3 linked regions of the Oryza sativa Japonica Group genome follow. The protein of the gene in region 1 binds, or shares a complex with, the protein of each later gene. Links are inferred from orthologs where the notes say so. Each region holds a gene or a part of one and is shown on either strand. Other genes may lie near its edges. The genes, in order: eukaryotic translation initiation factor 3 subunit H, eukaryotic translation initiation factor 3 subunit K and eukaryotic translation initiation factor 3 subunit A.

Region 1 (4,274 bases):
TTGATCTCCTGTAGCGGCACTATGATCCAAGTGAAATTCTTGGCACAGAAGCTAGTAGTTGATGATTGTCATCATCTCTTACTCGGATAGAGAACCCAGTAGTTGATGATTGTCATCTCTTACTCGGATAGAGAACCAGGAGTTTTCGTGAAGGTGTCGACATTCTAGGATAGAGAGGGCAGAAGAACTCGAACATCGGCCTCTCCTCTATAAATTATTAAGTAAATACCGATCTTGAATTGAGTTCTGATGGATAGGTTGCAATGGCGAAATAACAATAGATAATACTTGCTATCTCTTGCAAGATCATGAGTCTATGATCATGTCATCGTTTATAAATGACGCTAGTTTTATCGAACACGCAAGAAAAAAAGGTTTAAACATAAGATCCCCACTACTGTGGTGCCAAAAAAAAAAGAAAGGAGAAAACCATAAGAATACTCAAGATTAAAGAGGACGCGACCACAGACACCAAAACAACTCTAGCCACCCGCTACCTCTAGCTAAGCCAAGCCCCTAACTCTTGCTATATACTAAAAAAAACCCTTTCTCTGAAATCCAACTACACGCAAGGAGAGGATTCGTTAAACACACAATTTTTTTGTGTATGCTTCCAAAGTAATGAGAAAATTCAGGCCATGCTTGAGCACCTTTGGAATAATAGAATTGACCTTTATCCACCATTTACAAAAATAACTATCCTTTGGTCGTGATGGAAGATCTGCACAACCATAACGGCTAAAGAGGAGATACCAAACTTGTCATGAGAAGACAACCTATCAAAATTTGCTGAATGGCCTTCTCCTCTTGATCACACATCGACCCTATTTGCGAGATTTGATAGTGTGGCATCCTTTTGGACCGAAAATTGATAAGTAGACTTATTAGGAGGTTGATTTCTAATTCAATATAAATTGAAGGATATATAATCGAACTTCACACATTTTATTTTTATAAGTCATTGTATTTTTTAAAACAATATTTCAGATTAATCATACAATTAGTGTTTTTAAAAAATAAATTCCAGTATAAATGAAACCATATAATATAATTAGTTTAGAAAAATCATAAATTCTAGTATAAATGAAATGATACAAGCAAAATATAATAATTAACAAATAACTATTTTTCTCACAATAACTAATTTCCTACACCATATACAACGTTTTCTCTTTTTTTATCATCACAAATTGTTTTCTTCCTTTTTTTTACACCAATTGTTTTTTTTCTAGTAGATGGCAATCCGGTGCTCCTTGTCTGAACTCTCTCAATCTCAACTTCTCAAGTGGCAACTCTTAACCCCCTTCAGGTGTCAAAAAAAAAAAAAAAACCTCTCAAGTCTCAACCCCTTCAATCCCAGCCGCCAATTTTAGGATCCAACGGCTCCTAGATAGCGTACGGCACCACCCGTAAACCGTGAACAAACCCAGCCCGGGACACAATCTGCGCCGCACATCAAAATCGGGCTCGAGTCGACACACGAGCGAATCTGACCTAAACCCTAGCTCGCCTCCTCCTCCTCCTCCTCGCCGCCGCCGCCGCCGCCGTCGCCGTCGAGCACCACCCGAGCAGCCATGGCGAATCGTAAGCGAGACGAAGAACCGCCCTACCCTCTCCCTCTCTTGTGTCCTGCTCCGCTTCCGACTCTGGGGGCGAATGGGTGGTTTGTTTAATTGGTTCGGTTTGGTTTGGTTTGCAGCGGCAGCAGCAGCAGGGCCGTCGGGGGGAGCGAGGTCGTTCCTGCAGGCCGTGTCGACCGTCACCGAGGAGGCGCCGTCGCCGCTCCGCGTCGTGCAGATGGAGGGCCTGGTGATTATTTTTCTTCTCCCCTCCCGTTTTGTCCCTTGGTAGAATTCGAAGCGCGTCCGCTATGCTAGCATGTTTGTTTTGGGCGACTTGCGCTTGGGATGAAGTAAGGATAAGCTCTTGATTTCGGGAGGATCTGTTTGTGTGATGAAACGCCCGCAGTGTGCGATTTCTCTTCACCCAAATGTGTTGTTTAGCTCTTTAGATCGAGGTAATTACATGCTTTGCCGTGTAATTAGATCGGGGTCCTTTGGCTCTGGAACTGGAGGGATTTGGTGAGGTTATTACGAATATAGTTGTCCCTTTTACAATGTTTTCTTCTACACATGATTTGAAAGTGATCGGAAGACTTCCTATCTTAATTAATTACATTGAATGACCTCCTTCGGTCATTCCGGCAAAAAAGAAAGTGATCATCTGCATTGTGATTGTTGAGAAGAAGTGTAGGAGAAACTAGGGAGAGCAGAGGGTGGGAGAAAATTCTTGCTTGATTCGCAGCGCAATAGGAGCCTCCAAGAGTGCTCTAGTGGAGCACAACCATATTGCACGACACACATGTTGCTTTTAGTCATGTACTTATGTTGACCATACTCTACTAGATCAAATTTGCTGCACCTTTACATTGGATGATTTTCTGAGGGCCAGCCGCATTTTTCTTTTGCCCTGTGTTTGAATAGGCATGTTTAGGTATAGTACTCTTATATTTCCACTCACAAATTTCTCTCTCTCTCTCTCTCAATCATGCAGGCTGTCCTGAAGATCATTAAGCACTGTGAGGAGTTTGCACCTGCTCTAGTTACAGGCCAACTGCTTGGTTTGGATGTTGGCAGTGTTCTGGAAGTAACGAACTGTTTTCCTTTCCCAGTGAGTATTTAACATCTATAACATATTTCTTTTAATATGACTTGAGTATTCTTGTGGTTGTTTAGTTTATAGATTAACAGCTACTTTAATATTTGACCACAGATGAGAGAAGATGATGAAGAGGCAGATGCAGATGGTGCAAATTATCAGCTTGAGATGATGAGGTGCTTGAGGGAGGTTAATGTTGACAATAACACTGTTGGATGGTATGATAAGACATTTCATTCAATACCTATTGCTGTTGTTCCATATGATAATTAACCTCTGCCGCGTGCTTCTGCGAGCAGCCTTTGAGTTTACACGTGTTACAACTCTGTTTTTGTAGTCTTTGATCCTCTGCCTTTAATTTATATGTGCATAAATAGTTCATTCGTATTTCTTTGTTCTGACCGTTTGTTCATTATTATATTTTTGGAATGTTGCTAACATCTTTGGCTGTAGTTAATAATGCAGGCAAACTAAATTGAGATATGCTCATTTGTCAACATAGTTTAGTGATGCTGTTGAGTATGTGACACTGAAAAGTGAGAACAAAATAAATGTGGAATTTTGCCTCTATGCATACATGTATAGAAATGTTGTTTGTGTCATGTATTCACCTTGTCTCTGTTTAAAATCAATGGTGCTCTGCTTGTTTGCTTGGACTGATTATTTTATCTAATCCTCTTTTGGAAACACTTCATGAGAGTGTTAAATTTCTTATTGCATGAAGCAACCAAACATCATCAAGCTTCTGGTAGCAACCTTTAGTTATCGTGTATGTGGTTAACATTGACCTTAAAGTGGCTGGTTTTGTGCTTACTCGATGTATTTTCCAGTCTTTTGCAGTTGCATTAACGACATATTAACCTGTGTTGCATTCTAGCTGTTTCATGCCTCGTTCAAAATATTTGCTATATTTTTAACTCCAATAATGACTAATTATCCAACGTATTTCATCTTGAGCTTAAGTGATGTGTCCTATTATTTGTATTATTTATGTTGTGGTTTTAAGTTTTAACCTCCATTCTTGTTGTACTTGTTTAACAGATTTTGCACATACAACTATCATAATCATCCAACAAAGCTGTAGCCTGTTCTGCTTCATGTTTTGACCCTTTTTTTTCCCATGCCTGTGTACAGGTATCAATCTTGCTTGCTTGGATCTTTTCAGACTGTGGAACTGATTGAAACGTTTATGAACTATCAGGTATGCAAAAATAAATAAGGTGCAATTGATCAATCTTTCCATTGCTGTTGGGTTATCCTCTCCCAGCTTTGTTGACCTACTGCAGTAATAGTTTTAGGCCAACTTGCGCATTAATTAGCTCAAAATAGCTAGCACAGCATGAACAAACAAATAGGACAGCAAACAGTGCACCTAATTAGCTTCTCTAATTAGCATGTAACCTATTTTGACACGAATCAAGGTTAAGTCTCTGTATGCATTACAATATCTAACCTGTTTGTACATCCAATGTAGTATACGCAGCAGTACATGCATATCATATATCAAATATCTATGAGTTGGTCATAAGAGTTGCGTAATTTTCTGCGATGTTGCATGCAGAACATAACATTTGCATGTTACAGGAGAATATCCGGAGATGTGTGTGCATCGTTTA
Region 2 (4,103 bases), on another chromosome or scaffold:
AAAGTTTGTGGGATTGTGTGTGTGGATCTTGTATCCTTGTGACTTTGCAAGCTTTAATTTTGTGAGGAACAATAGTATTTTAGATTGGTGTGTAAAATATAGAAATAAATAATAGTAGCAACTAAATTTTGGTTTTCAGCTCTTCATCAGATGGTTTGTCATGGGAACAAAATTTCAAACATGAGCAAATTAAGGTCATGTTATTATCAATTGTGATAGATTTAATAATTACGTACTACCTCTGTTTCAGGTTATAAGGCTTTCTAGCATTACCCACATTCATATACTCCCTCCGTCTTATAATATAACAACCTAATACCGGATGTGACACTTTATAGTACAACGAATATGGACATGCTTCCTGTCCATATTCATTATACTATGAAGTGTCCCATCTAGTTATAGGTTTCTATATTATGGATGGAGGGAGTATATGTTAATGAATCTAGGCACGTATATATATGTATTGATTCATTAACATATATTTAAATGCGGGTAATGCTAGAAATTATTATAATATGAAACGGAGGAAGTAGGTGATAGGATCGTAAGGATGTTCATCATCTGTATAATTGTCCCGCATGTAAAAAAGACGAAATATAATTCGTGTCATCACATCAATCGTATGTGATTGCTCGAGCGTATTTACTAGTATCAATATCATGGTTCCTACCAAAAATAAATCGTCGTCATGAACTCATGGTACTTTTAATAGATTGGTATCATGGAATGAATAAAATGGATCCACTTTTTTCTAAAGGCTCCTATTTCAATTTTTTTTTTCAAAAGTGGCAAGGCCTTGTTCTTTTCTCCAACAAAAGTTCGATAAAATTTTTGATACACGCTGCACGCTTTTCAACTGCTAAATGGTGTGTTTCGTACGAAAACTTTCTATATGAAAGTTGCTCTCAAATATCAAATTAATCTATTTTTCATCAAGTTTGTATTGATTAAAACTTAACTAATAACACCTCAATACCATCTCGTTTTACATAAAACACTTAATACTATCTTTATCTTCATCTTTAAAAGAAAAGAACACCACCTTTGTTAGGATTAGCAATTCTAGTTGTTGCTTATGCCACACCTTTGGTTATTAGCAGGGGTGTCCATGAAATAACCAAACCTTGGAAGGGCACATGCGCATTTCTACCAGCATCTTTTTGCATCCGCGGCACACGAAGTAGGAGTATAAGGATAGCTGAGGGACTAAAGCGAAAAAATTCGCACGAACCCGAAAACCCTTTTCTCCATCGCCTCCCCCTCCGCCGCGCCGCCACTTCTCTCCTCTCCTCCTCTCGCCGCTCCCAGGGTTTCGCGCGAGATCTACTCTAGCATTCGGGCGTTAGGGTTCCCCGAGATGGCGAGCGAGCAGGCGGCGGAGAGCTACACGGTGGAGGAGCTCGTCGCCGTGAACCCCTACAACCCCGACATCCTCAACGACCTCGAGGGCTTCGTCAACGATCAGGTAAACCCTAGCCATGGGATACTTGCGGCCCCGTTTGATTTTGTTCGTGTGATTGTTGGAATTTTGCGAAGGATTGGTCCGTGGCTGTGCTGAAAAAGCCTCGCGCCTTCTCATGTTTACATGGTCCGCAAATCGTTAAATTCTCCTATGAAAAAAAAAATCCTGATTCATATGCGCTATGGCGATAGCTAGAAATAGCAGTATTTGTGTATTTTTTTCGGGCAGACTGTAGTGGAGCACATCGTTGTGGAGGAGTTGTGAATTAAGCGGCAGCACTTGTAAAGAGAATGGTTGCTGTTTGGTACATCAATAAATCTTATTGTCAGTCATCTCAATGCTAACTGATGGATTTTCAATTGATAATATCTGTTGTCGTTGGTCATGAAAGTGGCAAGATGGAGATTTCGGTCAGATGACACACATTCATATCAATATTTGACATGCTGTTTGGCTTACGATTTATAAAGAAACAAACTCAACAGACCTTTTTTTTGTGCTCTAGCTATTGTGAGTATGTGCATGCATCTTTTGTAGCTCATCTGTTTTATTCCAGCATATAAAGAAACAAACTCAACAGACCTTTTTTTTTGTGCTCTAGCTATTGTGAGTATGTGCATGCATCTTTTGTAGCTCATCTGTTTTATTCCAGCATAAGTTTTTGGTTCTAATGCTTTCAAATTTACCGACCTTTTCTTTTCATATAGGTTTCCAACCAAACATATAACTTGGATGCAAATCTTAGTCTTCTTCGTCTGTACCAGGTGACAGTCCATCTCTGTACAAACCGCTTTTACCCATATTTTGGCTCGAGTTATATGTTTATTTAATGATGCGTTTCCCTTTGCAGTTCGAACCAGAAAGGTTGAGTGTGCAGATTGTATCTCGCATATTGATTAAGGTCAGAAAAGAACTAATGTTAACATTAATAAATAAACAATGGTTTTTTGTTGATCACTTCCAACTGTTTTGCTCTCTTTATGTTGTTCTATTGACAGGCTCTCATGGCAATGCCAGGCCCGGACTTCAGCCTATGCTTATTCTTAATTCCAGAGCATGTGGTACGGAAACAATTCCCTGCCTCATGTATATGTCGCATCAAAAACTATCTATCTAATAAAATGCTATTGCGGATGCATCTTAAATAGTATCGATACCCAGTGATCTATTTGTTTTGGTGGTGATTGCCAAATTGACCCTGAAATAACATTATCATATATGTATGCCTAGAGATGTGCAATGTATATATATAATAACATGTAGTTGATGGAATAAAATCATATTCACCATGGATTTGGAATTTAAATATTTGTGCAAGGGAACAATCTTTGCCCATTTAGTCTTAGATATGTAGATATAACAGACCCGAATACTTTATACATTGTGTTTATTATAGCTGTACATCTAGTTCTTTTATTTGTTGGGCTCTGTTCTCTTATCATGTGAGTTTTGACCACTGTCCTCTATGCTCTTCTTATTTCAGCAAATGGAGGAACAGTTCAAGACGTTGATAGTTCTCTCTCACTACCTGGAGGTATGTATCTGGCTTGACTATTGTATATATGTTGAACAGTTAGTGGGATAACCACTGTTAACCGCAATCAACGTCTTTGTAGACTGCTAGGTTCCGTCAATTTTGGGATGAGGCGTCGAAGAACCGCAACATATTGGATGTTGTTCCAGGTATGTCTTGTGGAATTGGAGCCATGTTTTGTTCACACGTTGTGAAGTGGTAATTGTTGCAAGCTAGATGATTGTACTGGTATTTCCCCCTCCATTTTCCTGATTGATTTGGCCAATTGGGTGTGACTGATAAACTGTACCTTTTCTGATTACTTTATTTCAGCATTTTCTCGCACAACTCATATTTTAGAAAGTAACTTTGTGACTTATCATCGTTTAGACGTTTACCATGTGTTTATGTGGCATGTTCATGCCCGCGTTGTCATGTAAATGAGTATGTATTAGTATCCTAGATGCCCAGAGATTGGTTACCATATCAAGCAGTCTTGAGCGAACTTCTGTTTGATTCTTTCTACTGACTACTGAGGAATTCTTTTTAATCTAACATGAACTACCTATGGATTATTTTTATGAATGTTTGCTATATTGGACACTTTCTTATGGCAATTGATATGGATTCTTTCCGTTTGACCTAATGGTGAAGTGTTTTTTTTTTTTGAAACACTAGTGAAGGCTTACTTAACTAATCCCTTTACAGGTTTTGAGCAGGCAATCCAATCCTATGCGATACATGTGCTCTCCTTGACATACCAGAAAGTTCCTAGGCCTGTTCTTGCGGAGGTAAATGATGTCATTTTAAATTAATTATTACACGAGTCCTCGAGGGAGCATGAGTTTTCATTCAATCCTTTTTGTTTAAACTTTAGATGACCAAGGATTCGTGGTAATATTAAGTTTCATATTACTAATGCTACAAATATTTGTTACGCCAGAAGTGTCACCATCATCATCCAAATTTTGCTATCATTTAGGTGTTATTGGTTGCCTCGCACATGGATTGTCCCTTGTTGGCTGAAACTCATTACTTTTCTTTTCAGGCCATCAACATTGAGGGTCTTGCATTGGACAAGTTCCTGGAGCACCATATTGCAAACTCCGGTTGGGTGATCGAGAA
Region 3 (2,628 bases), on another chromosome or scaffold:
TGATTGTCACATTACAATAGCATATGATTACTTAAGCTCACAAAAATCACTATTAATCTCTTCTTGTAGAGAGAGATTGAGCTCAGCAAGCAACACCATGCAGGTGACCTGCAGGAGAAGAACAGACTTTCTCGAATGTTGGAGCATAAGGTAAGCAAATACATATCTGTATTCAGACCAGATATTCTTGCACTATTTCATCTTCTTTTTAGTTAATTGAAGGACCAAATGTCCCACTGTAATTAATCCTGTGTTTTTCCGAAACCATGTTTTGCAATTCCAAGCATAACAGTTGAAATACTTAGTATATTATCTGTGCAAAGGTCTGATTAGATACAGATTAATTTAACATATAATATGTGCTATACTTGCTGAGAATCTAATATTGGCATGTCTTCTTTGGCTATGTGTGTGTTCACATGATTTGAGCACTAGACATTTGAATACACCAGGCGATTTGTTCCTGTCAGGGAATAGACAGCTGTCTTCTCTCCTTCGCACATATTTTAAATTGCCCTTTTTGCTTGCAGAACATTTTCCAGGAAAGAATTGTCCAACGTCGTGAAGCTGAGTTTAGTCGTCTTAAGAAAGAGAGGGATGAAAGGACTAGTCAATTGATATCATCAAGGAAGCGTGAAAGGGATACAGTGCGGAAGTTAATGTACTATCTTAACTTAGAAGAGCAGCGCCTCCAAAGGCTCCGTGAGGAAGAGGAAGCTAGAAAACGTGAAGGCAAGAATTCATGACTTTGTGCTTTGAAATACTTGTTCTTATCTTACCTTATTAGATTAGATTAATTTACACTGCCATATATCGTCCAGCTAATTTTGGAATTTCTTGAGAATTAGTGAACATTGCTTGTTGAATTACTGTGACTTTACTGCAGTATGGACCTGTGTTACTTAGGGCCTGTCACTTTGATGCCAAAAAAAACCTTACCAAATTTTGGCATAGCCAAAATTTCGGCAACTTGCCAAAATTTTAGCAGGATTTCTTATATAGTTACCAAAATTTGGCAACAAACTAAATGTAGCCACTTTTCTTGCAACTTTAACAAAATTTGGTAAGATTGAAAATGGCATCAAAGTGAACAAGCCCTTAGACAATGGATAGCTTTAAAACTTAAAATGTTATTTGGCATCAAAGTGTGATTTGCTTGTGCATAATTATCTTGCGGATCTTTTTTTTTTTGCCTGATGCAATGAAATCAAATTCTAGCTTATACATATTGTTGATAATGATTTCACCTTCTCTGCAGAGGAAGAGAGGAGAAAGAGGGAAGAGACTGAGAGGAAGGCTAAGCTGGATGCAATTGCAGCCAAGCAGCTGCAGAGAGAGAGGGAACTAGAAGAGAAGAAGGAAAAACAGAGAATGGAAGCTCTCATGGGAAGAGGAGCTGGAGCTGCTGAGCCTGCACGCACTCCTGATGCTGCTCCGGTTGCACAGCCAGCTCAGCCGGTAGCTGCACCGGCTGCTGCTGCTGCCGCTGCTGCACCAGCTGCTGGTAAGTATGTCCCGAAGTTTAAACGAGGTGGTGATGGTGGCAGTAGTGCTGGCGGCCAGAGACCTGCTGTGGCACCTGAGCAAGACCGTTGGGGTTCACGGGATGATCGCCCACGTCCTGATATGCGTCCGCTCCGCCAAGAGGCACCCCCTGCTCGCGATGCTGCTCCCCCAGCCCGCCAAGATGGTCCTCCAGGCACATGGCGACCTTCAAGATACTCAAGTTCATCATCTTCCTCAACCTGGAGCAGCAGGCGCAACTGAAGCCGTCTGCTTTCAGATGTGGACTGCTAGGGTGAGATTTTTTGCTGTCCAGGGCCATTGCTGAGATAAGCCTGTGAAACATGGTTGAATGTTTGACTGTTTGCGCATCAAATGCTCGTAAAATTTTGGAGTTAGGACCTGCTTCAGGGCAATAGCACCTTTCCTAAGTTATGTCAAATGTTATTTCGTTGTTGCAGTTACTCCATTGCACACTGGATTGCTACTCGTTAAGTTTGTCCAAACTTTGGCGCTGTTAGTAATACTGGAATATTGCCCTTGTCTTTGTGTCTTTGTTCGTTTGGTCGTTGCTACAAGTACATCGCATTTCTTTTGATTATCATCAAACTAATATGACTTGTTGATCTTGATTAACACCAAACTCGGATGAAGCTTTGACGAAGAGTTGGCGGAAACATGAATCATGGTGGTGTACCCCAAGCAGGAACGCACTGCTAGCAGTTGGTAGTTTGATGCACTGGGATTTCGGAGCTCGATTTGCACCGGAAATACAACCTTACCTATCCGCGGTCTCCTACGTTGCTCAAGTAAAGCATTAACGTTCTCCAATGTTGCTCAAGTAAAACATTAACCTTGCATAGAAGTATGAGACTGCCAATCTGTTTGACCTTGCATAGAAGTATGGATGGCAATGAACTGAACTGTACAACATGAAATGCCATCCCTCTACATCATGCCAAAATTCGATGAGTGTTGTCATTTTTGGCATCCCATTGGCTTTGCCCAGTAAATCCATCTGGTAATCAGAAACTCGGAATGGAGTTGGGAGGCAGGATGCGTTCGCTTGTCTCCTTTTATCGCACGTTCTCGATCCAACGGTTCCTGTGAATACCAACATTCTAC

Evidence for each region.
Region 2: eukaryotic translation initiation factor 3 subunit H (region 1) and eukaryotic translation initiation factor 3 subunit K share a complex: the UniProt entries of both Arabidopsis thaliana proteins name them as parts of the eukaryotic translation initiation factor 3 (eIF-3) complex. The link is inferred for Oryza sativa Japonica Group from reciprocal best matches to the Arabidopsis thaliana genes TIF3H1 and EIF3K.
Region 3: eukaryotic translation initiation factor 3 subunit H (region 1) and eukaryotic translation initiation factor 3 subunit A share a complex: the UniProt entries of both Arabidopsis thaliana proteins name them as parts of the eukaryotic translation initiation factor 3 (eIF-3) complex. The link is inferred for Oryza sativa Japonica Group from reciprocal best matches to the Arabidopsis thaliana genes TIF3H1 and EIF3A.

The regions. Positions count from the first base shown.
Region 1 is NC_089038.1:18,753,164-18,757,437, reverse strand, and holds the start of eukaryotic translation initiation factor 3 subunit H, read left to right. Parts: upstream 1-1,447; 5' UTR 1,448-1,574; coding exon 1,575-1,584; intron 1,585-1,699; coding exon 1,700-1,809; intron 1,810-2,553; coding exon 2,554-2,670; intron 2,671-2,772; coding exon 2,773-2,876; intron 2,877-3,792; coding exon 3,793-3,859; intron 3,860-4,242; coding exon 4,243-4,274. UniProt on the Arabidopsis thaliana protein: Component of the eukaryotic translation initiation factor 3 (eIF-3) complex, which is involved in protein synthesis of a specialized repertoire of mRNAs and, together with other initiation factors, stimulates binding of mRNA and methionyl-tRNAi to the 40S ribosome.
Region 2 is NC_089037.1:4,350,491-4,354,593, reverse strand, and holds the start of eukaryotic translation initiation factor 3 subunit K, read left to right. Parts: upstream 1-1,226; 5' UTR 1,227-1,360; coding exon 1,361-1,468; intron 1,469-2,172; coding exon 2,173-2,229; intron 2,230-2,315; coding exon 2,316-2,366; intron 2,367-2,463; coding exon 2,464-2,526; intron 2,527-2,948; coding exon 2,949-2,999; intron 3,000-3,081; coding exon 3,082-3,148; intron 3,149-3,686; coding exon 3,687-3,769; intron 3,770-4,026; coding exon 4,027-4,103. UniProt on the Arabidopsis thaliana protein: Component of the eukaryotic translation initiation factor 3 (eIF-3) complex, which is involved in protein synthesis of a specialized repertoire of mRNAs and, together with other initiation factors, stimulates binding of mRNA and methionyl-tRNAi to the 40S ribosome.
Region 3 is NC_089035.1:1,178,549-1,181,176, reverse strand, and holds the end of eukaryotic translation initiation factor 3 subunit A, read left to right. Parts: intron 1-69; coding exon 70-150; intron 151-530; coding exon 531-732; intron 733-1,258; coding exon 1,259-1,767; 3' UTR 1,768-2,050; downstream 2,051-2,628. UniProt on the Arabidopsis thaliana protein: RNA-binding component of the eukaryotic translation initiation factor 3 (eIF-3) complex, which is involved in protein synthesis of a specialized repertoire of mRNAs and, together with other initiation factors, stimulates binding of mRNA and methionyl-tRNAi to the 40S ribosome.